2 linked regions of the Stegostoma tigrinum genome follow. The protein of the gene in region 2 binds, or shares a complex with, the protein of the main gene of each other region. Links are inferred from orthologs where the notes say so. Each region holds a gene or a part of one and is shown on either strand. Other genes may lie near its edges.

What was found.
Region 1: lin54 (region 2) and transcription factor Dp-2-like share a complex: the UniProt entries of both Homo sapiens proteins name them as parts of the DREAM complex. The link is inferred for Stegostoma tigrinum from reciprocal best matches to the Homo sapiens genes LIN54 and TFDP2.

The regions. Positions count from the first base shown.
Region 1 is NC_081367.1:73,714,264-73,722,050, reverse strand, and holds the start of transcription factor Dp-2-like, read right to left. Parts: upstream 3,006-7,787; 5' UTR 2,204-3,005; intron 1-2,203. UniProt on the Homo sapiens protein: Can stimulate E2F-dependent transcription.
Region 2 is NC_081354.1:77,504,595-77,512,012, reverse strand, and holds the start of lin54 (protein lin-54 homolog), read right to left. Parts: upstream 3,017-7,418; 5' UTR 2,802-3,016; intron 2,595-2,801; exon of another isoform or gene 2,573-2,594; intron 1-2,572. UniProt on the Homo sapiens protein: Component of the DREAM complex, a multiprotein complex that can both act as a transcription activator or repressor depending on the context. In G0 phase, the complex binds to more than 800 promoters and is required for repression of E2F target genes.

The sequences.
Region 1 (7,787 bases), on a different chromosome or scaffold from region 2:
AAGGATACTAGTGATAGTGGGTCATGTCTTTTTGTGGCTAGTTGATGTTCATGTATCCTGGTGGCTAGCTTTCTGCCTGTTTGTCCAATGTAGTGAACGTCATCTACAAAATACCTTGCAAGAACTGTGACAAACACTAAATTGGACAAACAGGCAGAAAGCTAGCCACCAGGATACATGAACATCAACTAGCCACAAAAAGACATGACCCCTCTGGGTCATTGTGAGCTTTATCCTTACACCTCCAATAATAAACATCTAGCCTTTTGTTTTAGAAAGTTAATCTCTGTGTTTTGTTTTCTCTTTTCCCCCTGAACAGAGGCAGGGTTGGGGGGCTGGTGTTGTTGGAGAGATGGAGTGCATGCGTGCGAGAGAGGGTCAGTGAGAGTTCTGAGGTATATAGAGGGACAAACATATGTATTTATTTATCACTGATTATGTCAGCAAATTATTGCATCTTTATTAAATACTTTTTAATGACAAATCAATAACTATTTATTAAAAAGCCTTGTTGATAGATCTTCTGTTTGAAAACTTAATAGACCTGAAATATTCAGTCATCTTAGTAACAGGAAAACTGGCTTGTATGTTATGCTGTGATCCATGGAGTAATGGGACTAGTTTCCAATACCAATCACTCCTGCCTTTACATGCTACATTTTCTCCTCATCCCCATGCATTGCATTTAAAATCATTTTCCTCAATTGTTAAATAAACTAGCAACATCGTCCACTTGTTTTGGGAAAGTTCCTATCAGCACAGACTCTGATTTTAATTCTAGCCTCCACTGCATGTACCACAGTCAAAGACAGGGCCTTCAGCCATCTATGCACTGTATTCAGGAACCCGCTACTGAAGTCTTTCACCTCAATGCACCTTTCTCAACCTTTCAGAAGACTCTCTCGTGCCTAAGTCTACCCTTTGGATCACCGTCTACCATTCTTCCCCTACCATGCTAAATTGCCCGTAGTGTTCAGGGGTGTGTGGGTTATAGGGGGATGGGTCTGGGTGGGATGCTCCAAGGGGCGATGTGGACTTGTTGGGCCGAAGGGCCTGTTTCCACAATGTAGGGAATCTAATCTAATCTAATCTAATATCCTCTACAGGTAGAAAGAGGACAGGAGGGTTAGGGTTTCAGCAACTTTGTTGTAGGAAAAAAGTAAAAGTGCCTGGCCTAATTTTGCCGACTTCATTCAGCTATTGCTCTTGTCCTGAAATACCAAAGGGAAAGTTTGAAATATCATTGCCACAATTATTGTTGTTACTAATGTCAAGACAATCTTGCTCTACTATCAGCCAAACTGCAAAAAAAATTCTGATGAAAAATGTCGACAAGCTTCTCTCTCTGCACAGATGCCGCTAGAGCATTTCCTCATTTTGTTTCCATTTCACAGTTCTAACATCTGAAGCATTTTGTTTATGCAGTGAAAAGGATTTCCTAATTTTAAAAAAAAGTTGAACTGCAGGTTTGGTGACTGAACCATGAAAAGTAGCATGAGAGTGAGGCTTTGCAAATGCAGTACTGATGCCTCAAACGACTGAATGTGCATTGAACGTGGAGAGTAGCAGCAAGATGCAGCTCAAATAATGTACCAGGAGGCAATGTAGCAAAAGACAGAAGTACAGAAAATAGGATCAGGCGCAGGCCATTCAGTCCTCTGAATCCACTCTGCTGTTCAATATGATAATGGCTGGCCCTCCAACTCAGTCCCTTTGCTCCCTTTCACCACAAGCTCTATATCTAACTCCTTTTTAAAAACATTCAACATTTTGGCCCGAACCACCTTCTGAGGCAGAGAATTCCACAGGCTCACCACTCTCTGGATGAAGAAATTTCTCCTCACCTTGATCGTAACTATTCTAACCCCAGATCCTTAGACTGTGATCTCTGAGTCTGGGCTCCCTGCTTGTGGGGAACATCCTTCCTGAATTCACCCTGTCTAGTCTTGTCAGAATTTTACAGGTTTCTATAAGATCCCCTGTCATTTCTCTAAACCACAGTGAATATATTCCTAACAGAATCCAATGTCACACCGTAGACGAAGGGTCCTGCCATCCCAGGAATCAGGTAAATGAAACAGGGATTGATAATCTTCTTTATTTATTCCAGGGCAGCGCCCTGCAGAGACGGAGTGGCCACAGCTTTGTTCTAATAAAAATTAAAGAGGAAAAAACGTAAAATTAAAGTGCTTTCGCCACTCACCATCCTTGGTGCCCGCTCCAACAAAGTGTCCCAGAAGCAAGCAGCTGCAGCCAGTTGTCACAGTCTGTCAGAGGGCCTGCTCTCTCCCTCAAACTCTGAGCAAACACCACACTCACACCTCACTCTCTGCAGTCACAGCTCACACTCACTCACCCCCCACACTCCTCTTCCACTCACTCCTCTCATTCACAGCTCACACTCACTCACTCACTCCTGTCTCACTCAGTCCTCTCTCACAGCTCACTCCCCTCTCACAGCTCACACTCACTCCTCTCACTCACATACTCCTCTCTCTCACTGACTTCTGTCTCACACTCACAACTCACACTCACTCACTCCTCTCACTCACACACTCCTGTCTCACACTCACAGCTCACACTAACTCATTCCTCTCTCACTCACTGCACACACTCTCTCACTCCTGTCTCACACTCACAGTTCAGACTCCTGTCTCACTCACAGCTCACACTCACTCACTCACAGCCTCCCACTCCTGTCTCACTCAGAGCTCACACTCACTCAGAGCTCACACTCTCCCACTCCTGTCTCACTCACAGCTCACACTCTCCCACTCCTGTCTCACTCACAGCTCACACTCACTCACTCACAGCCTCCCACTCCTGTCTCACTCACAGCTCACACTCACTCACAGCTCACACTCTCCCACTCCTGTCTCACTCACAGCACACACTCTCCCACTCCTGTCTCACGCACTCACGGCCTTCCTTGCTCCGGTGGGTGGGCTGAACCAAACAGATGAACACATCGAAGTCCCGCCTCGAACAGCGGAGAAAGTTATCTTCCTGACAGCGGCCTCATGGTCTAATTCGGGGGGGGGGGGGGGGGGAGAGAGAGAACGGACAAATAATCAGCACCAAATAACACCCGGCGGGCGGATTGGAGAGGGGTGGGGGAGGGAGGAGGAGGAGGGGTGGAGGTGGGGGAGGAGTGGAATGGGGGACGGAGGAGGGGAGGAATGGGGGGATTGGGGGTGGGGGAGAGTAGGGTGGGGGGGGAGAGTAGGGTGGGGGGGGGAGAGTAGGGTGGGGGGGGGGAGAGTAGGGTGGGGGGGGGAGAGTAGGGTGGGGGGGCAGAGTAGGGTGGGGGGGGCAGAGTAGGGTGGGGGGGGCAGAGTAGGGTGGGGGGGGCAGAGTAGGGTGGGGGGGGCAGAATAGAGGGGATGGGGGGGTGGAGTGTGGGGGCAGAATAGAGGGGATGGGGGGGTGGAGTGTGGGGACAGAATAGAGGGGATGGGGGGTGGAGTGGGGGGGCAGAATAGAGGGGATGGGGGGGTGGAGTGTGGGGACAGAATAGAGGGGATGGGGGGTGGAGTGGGGGGGCAGAATAGAGGGGATGGGGGTGGAGTGTGGGGGCAGAATAGAGGGGATGGGGGGTGGAGTGGGGGGGCAGAATAGAGGGGATGGGGGGTCGAGTAGGGGGACAGAATAGAGGGGATGGGGGGGTGGAGTGGGGGGGCAGAATAGAGGGGACGGGGGTGGAGTGGGGGAGGACAGAATAGAGGGGACGGGGGTGGAGTGGGGGGGTAGAATAGAGGGGACAGGGGTGGAGTGGGGGTACAGAATAGAGGGGATGGGGGAGTGGAGTGGGGGGGCAGAATAGAGGGGGAAGGGGGTGGAGAAGGCGGGTGAGGGGCAGAGTGGGGAGGGGGTGCAGAGCGAAGGCAGGAGAGGGAGTAGAGTTGGGGGGTTGGGGAGGCAGAGTGGGGGATGGTGGGTGCAAAGTGGGTGGGATGGGGATGGGGGCAGAGTGAGGAATGGAGTTGGGGGAGGGGTAGGAGTGGAGGGGTGCGGAGTGGCGGGGGAGGTGTAGCGGGACAGAGTGGGGGAGAGGGGCGGAGTATGGGGGAAGGGGATAGTGGAGGAGTTGCAGAAGAGTTTGGTGGGAGGGAGGGGTAGTAGGGGGGCGGGATATGGGTCGGGGAGTGGAGGGGCAGAGTAGCGGGTGGGTCGGAGTAGTGTGAAGTGGTGGGGAACAGAGTAAGAGGTGGGGATGCGGAGAGGTGGAGGGTGTGTGCAGAGTTGGGGGGAGTGGAGTACTTGGGAGGGGAGGGGGTGCGGAGTAAGGGTGGTGCGGAGTAGGGGGCAAGTGCAGGTGAGGGGGCGGAGTGGACTTGTGGCGTGGAGTGGGGATGGAGTGGAGTAGGGGGAGGGCGAGTGGGGGTGGGTCAGTGTAGTGTGGAGTGCGGGAGTGGAGTGGGGGCAGGGGGTGAGGCGTAGTTGGGGGGAGGGGTGGGGGAACGGGATAGGGCTACGGGAGTGGGGAGCAGAAGGTGGGAAAGGTAAGGGCTAGGAGAGGGTGGCCGGAGATGGGCGTAGGGCTCAGGGTCGTGGCGGAGAAGGGGGTGGACAACAGGAGGGACGGGTTTGGGTCAGGGTCACTGCTGTCGGATGGGGAAGGGCCAAGTGAACACAAGAACAGCCTGAACCCCCCCCCCCCACCACCACAGGGGTAACCCTACCCACAAGACAGATTCCACACTGCTCCCACCCTCGGAGGGGCTTAGCCTTGGGGCAGGGGCATCTGCCACCCGTATGGGGACATTGTACACCTCCAAGCAGTAAAGATGAGGTGGAGATTAAAGCTGAGCCAGGAATTTTTGGGGTCAGGGTGGCACAGAATCAGCTTCAAGAACCACAGGCATAAAATCAGAAAGCGTGCCCTTGGACTAAAAGCGTTAACTCTCACTTCTCAAAGCAATTTGGAAATTCTCCATTGATAATGGGAACTGCAGATGCCGGAGAATCCGAGATCCTAAGATGCTGCTTGGCCTGCTGTGTTCATCCAGCTCCACACTTCGTTATCTTGGAAACGCTCCATTATTTTGTTTTAATTTCCAATCTCCAACATCTGCAGGATTCTGCTATTGAAGATCCACCAGCTAAGTGGCAACAGTCACAGGATTCTAAGAAAAGTCACAGGGATTTGGAACTGCTCAGGGAGATCATCCAGAAATGGACCTGATGATGTACAAGTTGTGCCCAGTAACACTTGGACAATGGCACGGACATAGCTGTGATATAACTAAGGTATTTGTAATGATTACGACTGAGTTTTTTTTCCTTTACTCATTCACGAGATGAGGGCATCACTGGCCAGGCAGCATTTATTGCCCATCCCTAATTGCCCAGAGGGCAGTTCAGAGTCAACCACATTGCTGTGCGTCTGGAGTCACATGTAGGTCAGACCAGGTAAGGATGGCAGTTTCCTTCACTGAAGGACATTAGTGAATCAGATGGGTATTTCCAACAACTGACAACGGATTCACGGTCATCATTAGATTATTAATTCCAGATATTTATTGAATTCAAATTCCACAGTCTGCCATGGAATTTGAATTTATAATGTGTCACGACAAGTAGGACAGAGAAAAGAGAGAGGACGACACTTAGGACAGAAAATGATGGAGCACTGTTGGCCAAAAGGGAAGAATATTTTTCAGAAAACTAATGATAACTAATTATGAGCATTGGTACAGCAACAAAATCCTGGCATAGAATTGTTTGAGCAATTAATGGGGAAAAAAGAAGCACATTGAACAACAGAATTGAAACGTGCCCCTGGTAACTGCCTTAAACTATAACCCAGAACATAGACCATTTGGCCCGGCCCTCTGTTTGTTTTCTGCTTTGGCTTCAGTGAAAACAGGTAAATAGCTATCTTATAAGAGATAACAAAGTGTGGAGCTGGATGAACACAGCAGGCCCAGCAGCATCTCAGGAGCACAAAAGCTGACGTTTCGGGCATAGACCCTTCATCAGAGAGGGGGATGGGGTGAGGGTTCCGGAATAAATAGGGAGAGAGGGGGAGGCGGACCGAAGATGGAGAGAAAAGAAGATAGGTGAAGAGGAGATTATAGGTGGGGAGGTAGGGAGGGGATAGGTCAGTCCAGGGAAGACGGACAGGTCAAGGAGGTGGGATGAGGTTAGTAGGTAGGAAATGGAGGTGCAGCTTGGGGTGGGAGGAAGGGATGGGTGAGAGGAAGAACGGGTTAAGGAGGCGGGGACGGTTTTGGGATGCAGTGGGGGGAGGGGAGATTTTGAAGCTTGTGAAACCCACATTGATACCATTGGGCTGCAGGGTTCCCAAGCGGAATATGAGTTGCTGTTACTGCAACCTTCGGGTGGCATCATTGTGGTACTGCAGGAGGCCCAGGATGGACATGTCGTCTAAGGAATGGGAGGGGGAGGTAAAATGGTTCGCGACTGGGAGGTGCAGTTGTTTATTGCGAACTGAGCGGAGGTGTTCTGCAAATCAATCCCCAAGCCTCCGCTTGGTTTCCCCAATGTAGAGAAAGCCACACCGGGTACAGTGGATACAATATACTACATTGACAGATGTGCAGGTGAACATCTGCTTAATATGGAAAGTCATCTTGGGGCCTGGGATGGGGGTGAGGGAGGAGGTGTGGGGGAAGTGTAGCACTTCCTGCGGTTGCAGGGGAAGGTGCCGTGTGTGGTGGGGTTGGAGGGGAGTGTGGAGCGAACAAGGGAGTCACGGAGAGAGTGGTCTCTCCGGAAGGCAGACAAGGGTGGGGATGGAAAAATGTCTTGGGTGGTGGGGTCGGATTGTAAACGGTGGAAGTGTTGGACGATGATACGTTGTATCCGGAGGTTGGTGGGGTGGTATGTGAGAACGAGGGGGATCCTTTGGGGCCAGTTGTGGCGGGGGCGTGGTGTGAGGGATGTGTTGCGGGAAATGCAGGAGACACGATGAAGGGCGTTCTCGACCACTGCCGGTGGGAAGTTACGGTCCTTGAAGAACGCGGACATCTGGGATGTTTGGGAGTGGAATGCCTCATCCTGGGAGCAGATGCGGCGGAGGCGGAGGAATTGGGAATAGGGGATGGAATTTTTGCAGGAGGGTGGGTGGGTGGGAGGAGGTGTATTCTAGGTAGCTGTGGGAGTCAGTGGGATTGAAGTGAACATTAGTTTCTAGCTGGTTACCTGAGATGGAGACTGAGAGGTCCAGGAAGGTGAGGGATGTGTTGGAGATGGCCCAGGTGAACTTGAGGTCGGGGTGGAAGGGGTTGGTGAAGTGCTTTGGAACCCTGCAGCCCAATGGTATCAATGTGGACTTCACAAGCTTCAAAATCTCCCCCTCCCCACTGCATCCCAAAACCAGCCCAATTCGTCCCCTCCCCCCGCTGCATCACAAAACCAGCCCAGCTCGTCCCTGCCTCCCTAACCTGTGCTTCCTCTCACCTATCCTCTCCTCCCACCTCAAGCCACACCTCCATTCTCCATTTCCCACCTACCAACCTCATCCCGCCTCTTTGACCTGTCCGTCCTCCCCGGACTGATCTCTCTCCTCTCCTCTCCACCTATCTTCTCCTCTATCCATCTTTGGTCCACCTCCCCCCCTCTTCCTATTTATTTCAGAACCCTCTCCCCATCCCCCTTTTTCTGATGAAGGGTCTAGGCCCGAAATGCCAGCTTTTGTGCTCCTGAGATGCTGTTGGGCCTGCTGTGTTCATCCAGCTTCACACTTTGTTATCTTGGATTCTCCATCATCTGCAGTTCCCATTAGCTATCTTATGCTCCCTTTCCTTCTCATAAATGACTGT
Region 2 (7,418 bases):
AGTACACACTTTGAAATCAATGGTAAAGTGTCTATCCTCCCCCTCTCCCCTGTATAAATTGAGCAATATTCCTTAGCATTCGATGGTCTGTCAGTGTTTTCACCGAACATCAGAGGCATTACACAGCTCAGTTGACCAAGCAGGTGTTTACATTAACTTTAAAAAGATGTATTGTTTACTTTCAAGAGATTGGAATGTATGCAAGCCTCACACAGGACTTTCTATTAAAAGTTTCTACTTCAGTTTAAAAACTTTTTACTGCATAACTAGTCTCTAGCAAAGCAAAATCTACACTAGAAAAACTGACGCACCACACCCTGATCAGTCCAAACAATTCAACGTCTCCCACTGTGGTCAGTGGTCTCCCATTTGAGCCCAACAGATAAATTAATCATCATTTATCATACATATGTTCGCGAAGGCTTGCTGTGGATAAAATAGCAGTCACATGCCAACAAGTTACCACACAAACAATTGCATCTCAATGGGTGACTAGACAGAAGCACAACTTCTTTTCAGTCCTCCTTGTAATTCCAGCTTCCCATCCTTCCCCAGCCCTCTTTCCTTGTCTGCACTTGCTGATATTTCAACTTCTACCCACATCATGATCCCTTCTATATTACATTCCACCATTAGCGATCAAAAGAATGATACAACGTAGGCTATTTAGCCCATCGTGTCTGTATTATCTTGCAATATTCTATCTACCTTGCTTTTTGCTATATTTCTTTTCACCATTAAAACACATCTCCTCAGCAGCACTTTATTCCAACTCCCGTAAGTTTTCCTACTCCATCCTTCAAGTCAGATGTTTTGCGACATTACAAAGGTGAAAAATTGGAGCTGAGCAATCGTTCCCACAGTGAACACAAAGTGAGAAACAGGATCACAGCCTCCAAACCTGGAACAGAGAGCTGATAGTCAAGGATGCAGTATCCATGACGCCCAGGTTCAAGTCACACCTGTTCCAGAGGTGTATAACAACATTCCTAAACAGGTTGACTGGAATCTTGTTCGCGTTTGTACAGTTATGAATCTGACGATGACAACTTAGCCGTGTTCTGGGAGGACAAGGGGGCGGAACTGGTTAATTTTTAATATTGGGGAGGGGGCGCTGTAAATAACATAACCGGCAGCAGAGTAGAGCAAAAAGATCAAAGAATGAAGATTTTTGCGACATACATTTATGCATGACTTATATTTGATAATTATCTTTATTGATGAAAAACCTCAATAGAAATATCGCAAAGTATGCTTGCCGTTAGAAATCCTACATACGTCATGTGAATGATTTTACATTGTACTTTGACCAGGTAAACTAAATGGCTAGACAACTTCTAGACGTAATCTTTTGTTAGGCGGAATCTGGGTATATCTTACTGTATCTTTCAGAGAGCCACGTCTCTCCAAACGATCTCAAAAGGAGAACTGCAGGCCTTTGCAACCGAGCTATCTATGCTTGGCAGAGAAACCTGAAGTGTTACAAGCGTGACATCTGGGTGTGAAGAGAGAGAATGTGTCATTTTGTGTTTGAGAGGCTGGGCAGAGCCCAAAGCCGGTTCGGGCTTTTCAGACTAGGTTCGGGTGTATAATTAGGCAGGGATTGCATTTCGAAAGGTCCGCCATTTTCACCTCGTCATCACATTTCCACAGAAAGGCAGGGCCTGAGCGAGACTGGGAGATATACAAAAATCATACGAAAAAACCGCGGAAAAAAAACTAACAGGAAATACCACAGTTGCCGAACAAACCCCACAAACGTTCAGCCTGATGCCCTGGCGCATTCCTCCTCAAACAACAAACAACTTACAAATCAGCAATCTACCTGCTGGAAACAAAATCTCAGATATGTTCTTCAACATCTAAATGCACTTCTTGCTCCCGTTCAAATCGCTGGCGGGGCTTAAAGAAATGGTTCCTGTATAAGGTCAGCACAACAACAAAAAAATTCGACCCTGGGCTTTGTGATACTGCCCGTTCTTGAGAACACTGACAGTACAAAGCCCTTTGGGATCATGATCCCAGGGTCCGGGGAAATTTATAACTGGGGAGATCAGTCAGGAGCCAAGATTAAACTCCGCGATGAACAGTCACCGCTGCGAAACAGAAATTACAGATACCGCTTCAGACCAAATACAGGCAGGATCCAGTAGCTATTTTGGTTTCTTTTTTTAAAAAAAATCTGATCGTAGGTCATCTTCGAAGGAGTCACTATTGCAAATGTATTTTACAAACCCAGAGTTATAAGAGCGACGTGAACCTTTCAGTTTCAGAAATGCATTAAAGTTACACAATATTAAAAACAACACAGTTTAACACAGCAAAAAGAAAACGAAACGCACGGCTGGACGGCAGTGGTGGCTGGGGGGGCGGTGGTGGTGGAAGTAGTTTCAAACAAATTAAGGCGACATCATGGGAAAGAAACAGAAAAGGGGATAAGGGGGGGGATTGGGATGAAGGCGAGAGGACGATCAAAGAGCCATTACTGGAGGAGAGTCTTTTAGAAAGAGGGAAACAGTCAGTGAGGCCACTGACAACACCGCGGACAACTTCAACAGAAGGCACCTCATACAAGGCAGAAAGTCGTCGTCAAACCGACCGAAGCCCCCGGCCCCAGTCAGATCGGGGGCTCCACACCCTCCCGGCCTCAGTCCAGATAGGGGGCTGCACTCTCAATCCAGCCCGGCCGCCATCAGCCGGTGCTCCGAAGCCGCCCAGCCCCAGTTTCGTCGGGGCCAAGAAGGCAGAGCGGTGCAGCGTTCCCTGACATAAACATAGCCGTGCCGCTGACGGATACTCACCGGCTGCGGGTTCCGGGCCGCTCGGAGCTGGAAGCGGGCGGCATGGAGAAGGATCGCGGCCGCCTGGGGCCTGAGGCGGCGCTGGCGGCCCCGGTTACCAGACACACAGCGCTCGTCACCGGGAGACCGATCGTGTTTGTTCAAAATCACGCGCCCAGCGCCATTCCTCCAGGTCTAACATCCCATAATATCACCGCGCTCCCCAGGAGACCACGGCCCCGCTCCGCGAAGCACGTCATACACCAACCCCCACCAAGGCCGCCGCTTCTCAAACCTCACGTCGTGTTTGGAACGACAGACGTGCGTCACGGCGTTCCTGGGACGCCAGCACGCACGTTGCTCCGCCCACCCCAGTTACCCACAACTTTCCAATCGCAGCTGTTTCAGGCTCATTGCTTTGCGGGGTGGGAGGGTTTCTTTAGTTTGGACAGTAATTACACCTCTCAGTACGAATTTCACCGAAACAGATTCTCTTTCAACTGGGCCTCACAGTACCATCCCACTAATCAATTAAGATCCTGGAAAATGCGGATGAATGATTATTAGGAGCTTTCTCCATGAAAGCCAGCATAGATTGCTGAGTTCATCACTGGTTCCACTACCAGCTCAGACATAAGCTGACTGAAGAAAAGCGTTTTGAACATCAGTATCTGAAATCCAATATAAAGGTGCAGAGATAGAAATTGCTGGAAAACTCAGCAGATCTGGCAGTACCTGTGGAGAGTAAGCAGAGTTAACGTTTCGGCTCCAGTGACCCTTCGAGATAAAGGTCACGGTTTGCTGCGCAGCTCTGTGCTCCTCCGAAATGGTTTGGAGACTTGAACAACTTACATCAGGCACCTCCAATGACTGGAGAAGTAACACCTTTTATGTGGTCCTCCAAAACTGGTGGTAAGAAAGAAGGTCCAACAGCAGCATCCTCTCCCAAGCCAGTTTGTCCAGCCTTAAGCTGAAAATAATTCAAAAGCTGCTCCACTTGATGGGACATATGCTGCACTTGCCTGACACCAGACACCCAAAGCAACCACTCTATTTTGTGCTTGCTTGGAGTTGGATAATCCCAGATGGACAGCATATGCCCTCAAAGCATCCCAGAGTCAAACATTATTCCCAACTCATGGTGTACCTGCATGTGATCAATCAAAGTGGAAAAGTATTGTAAAATCTGAAAAAAACACTGTAATATATCTGTTAAGGAATAAGAAAAAAATCCAGAAATGTAGAATTGAAATGTTCAAACATTGAAACAAAGTAAATTTGGGATAAGTAGTATTAAGTTTTGTTAGATACTTCAAGAATCTTCATCGAGAATGTGCACAGACCAAAGGTCAAGCTGCCTGATGTAGTGCACAAACCTGCATGCAACTCATCTTCCCAACTATTCAAGCATGAAAGTGACCCTCAATCCTGAGAGACTACCTAGGAAAAAAGAGATAAACACAATGGGCAAACAGAAAAGCAACATTAGCATTGGATTTCTTCTCCCTCCCCTTTGTAAAAGCAATTACTCTAAATTACAGCCACATGTTAGAAAAAGTTCTATTTTATCATAAATATGAAAACCCTTCAACTGGGTCACCCGTTCCACTCAGTTTCTTGGCTGATATCACTTTCAGGAACTGCGTTTGTGTTTTAAATTTTCTTGATTGCAAACTGTAGCTGGTAATATCAACTGTGCTACTTAAAACCAGCCGAGAACCAATCTACAAAACAATACTTCTTCCTCTTCTAGGCTCTTCCTACTTTGGTACTTGAGCACTCATGTCTGTTTTTTTCTCTGTCAGTCACCCATTCCCATTCCAATTCACTGTGTTTAAGTCTCTCATTGCATCTTCTCAACAGGCTTAGGACTCCCTTTTCTCTTTGTTCTTGGCCAGCCCATCTTCTTCACTTGTCTCACCACATTTCCTCCCTCTTTCATCAATACCATTTCTCTCGTTTCTCAGCTACTTTCATCAATGCCCTCACAATCTTCACTGAAACCCTCATGTTCCTCGTTTTGTCCATTCTCATTAATCTATACATCTGTCTCAACATTTATATCTTATTAGGAACCAGTTGTCCTTTGCTGTTGCTTAGATTTGTGTACTCACTAGAGGGTTATTGGCATTTGGATATAAATCTACTTACCAAATTGGATAGCTGACATGAATGGAAATGGCACCCACGTGATCATGCTTTAGATTGAAAATTGAAATTTCCTAGACTTTAGCTGGATTTAGATTTGTTTCAAATTTCCATTTCTGAACCTATGTCTTCAGGTTTATAGAGGGCAGCATGTGGGAGGAGTCAATATGAACGTCACAATAGCAGTCCTGAGTCAAAGAGGAGAAATTCAGACTTTGTTCCTCTTCTGTTTCTTATTGAAACAGTGCAAATACAAATATTATATAAGGGCAAGATTCAGTTCACCCCCATAGCCTCCACAAATCAAACAACAACAACAAATGTTTTGAAGAATGAGAGGTGATTTTATTAAAATTTATGAAATTTCTACAGGGTGGATGTAAATGGATGCCTTCACTGGCTGGTGGCTCAAGAACTTGGGGACATAAACTCCGGATGAAGGGTAAGCCATTTAAGATTGAGATCAGCAGCAATTTCTTCATTCAGAGGATGGTGAATCTCTGAATGAGTGTTATGGAAGTATGCATGATCAAAACAGAAGTTGATCAGTTTCTGAAACTAATGACATTAAGAGATATGAAGACAGAGTAGGAAAGTGGCAACGAGGTAGAAGGATGGCCAAGATCTAATCTATTCGTGGGCATATTGGATGTTCTGAATTGCCTATACCTGTGCCAGTATTCCCGCAGCTGATGTTTATATAGTGCCTTTAACATGATATAATGTGCCAAGACACTTCATATGGGCATTAAAAAACAAAATATGATAATAAGCAACATAACATTTGGGTCAGCACAGTGGCTCAATGGTTAGTACTGCTGCCTTCATAGCACCAGAGATTTGGGTTTGATTTCAGTCTTGAGTACCTGTCTGTGTGGAGTTTGCACATTCTCCCTGTGGGTTTCTGCTGGGTTTCCTCCTACAGTCCAGGGACGTGCAGGTTACATTGGTGGATTGGCTGTGCTAAATGAGAATTATGGGAAGAGGGTGGGAGGCTGAATCTGGGTGGGATGCTCTTTGGAGGGTCAGTGTAGCCTTGATGAGCTGAAAGACCTCTTTCTGCACTTTTTGGGTTCTACGATAAGGAAATGTCTGGCCAATTACAAAGTTGTAAAGGGATTTGTAATAAAGATAAAACTGTTAAATCAAAACATTGCATTACTCTGAATTGATGTGAGTCAGTGATGACAAGACTGGTAAAGGAAGGAGACTTAGTGTGAGTTAAGATACAGACAACAGAGTTTTGGATGCCTTTAAGTTTATAAAGGGCAGCATGTGGGAGGGAGCCACAATGGAAGCCACAGTAGCAATGGAGTAGTCAACTCTAGAGGTAGCAACGACCTGAATGAGACTATCATCAGCAGATGAGCTGAGACTGACACATTCAGATGATTTTACAGAAGTTGGGAAAGGTGGGCTAAACAATGGGCAAATATATCGTTGGAAAATCACCCAGTGGGGAAGGATAATTAATTAACCAGTGTCCACAAATGACCTGAACTGGATCTCTCCCTTAGAGTGAGACAATTAGTTATGTGTAGCTTGAGAGGCACCACTTCTCAAATGTGGGAGGGCAAATGAGGAGGCAGGACTCATGAACTATCAGACCCCAAACAGGGATTGCATTAACACTATTGGCATTGTTCTGTACTGCACTCCAGCCATTAAGTCAACTATGTTGACCACAATCTGGTTTAGTCTCAAACTGTTGACTGGGAAAGGGACACAGTCAGTAGCTTGAGAGCAAACTTTAAAGAAGGGACAAAGTTCAATAGCCTCAGTCAAACCAATACATAATAGGAAAAAAAATTCTGCTTGTCCAGTGCTGGATGTCGGCTAAAGCAGTCTGATAGTTTAGCAACTGTGGAGAAGGTGAAAAAGGTAATGGTGAGGTAACGTTGTATTGTTGTTGGCATACTTGTGAAAACCTACTCTGTGCTTTCAACATGCATACAAAAAAAGGTCAGGATAAATTCTTTTGGCTGGGGGGGTGGTGGGGGGAGTCCAGAGATAAAAATATGACAGAAGAAGGAGAAACCATTGCAAGTGATACAATAAGATAGATAAGAATGCAACTGATTGAGAGCAGTCCCACTTACTTGGCTCACAGTAGAGAGGCTCTGGAGGAGCATGGCATAGTCAACCTTGTGAAAGACTGCAGGAGAATCAGGAGTGATATTTACTTTTGTCACAGTCACACTGGATGTCATTTATAACTTTGATAAGAGCTATTTTGGCGCTATGGTGAGACAGAAACCCGACTGAACAAATTAAAACATGAAGTTCTGGGAACCATTGGTACAGGTTTGGTAGGTGACAAAATATTCAAGGACTTTGGAGAGGATACGGAGGGTCAAGATGAAGCTGTAGTTTGAAGAATGTTACTATCAAAGGATGACTTTTTTTCAGAGAGGAGTGGTAATGGCAGATTTACAGGGGCAGAGACAACACATGAAGACAGGGAAACATTGATAATATTGGCTGACACGG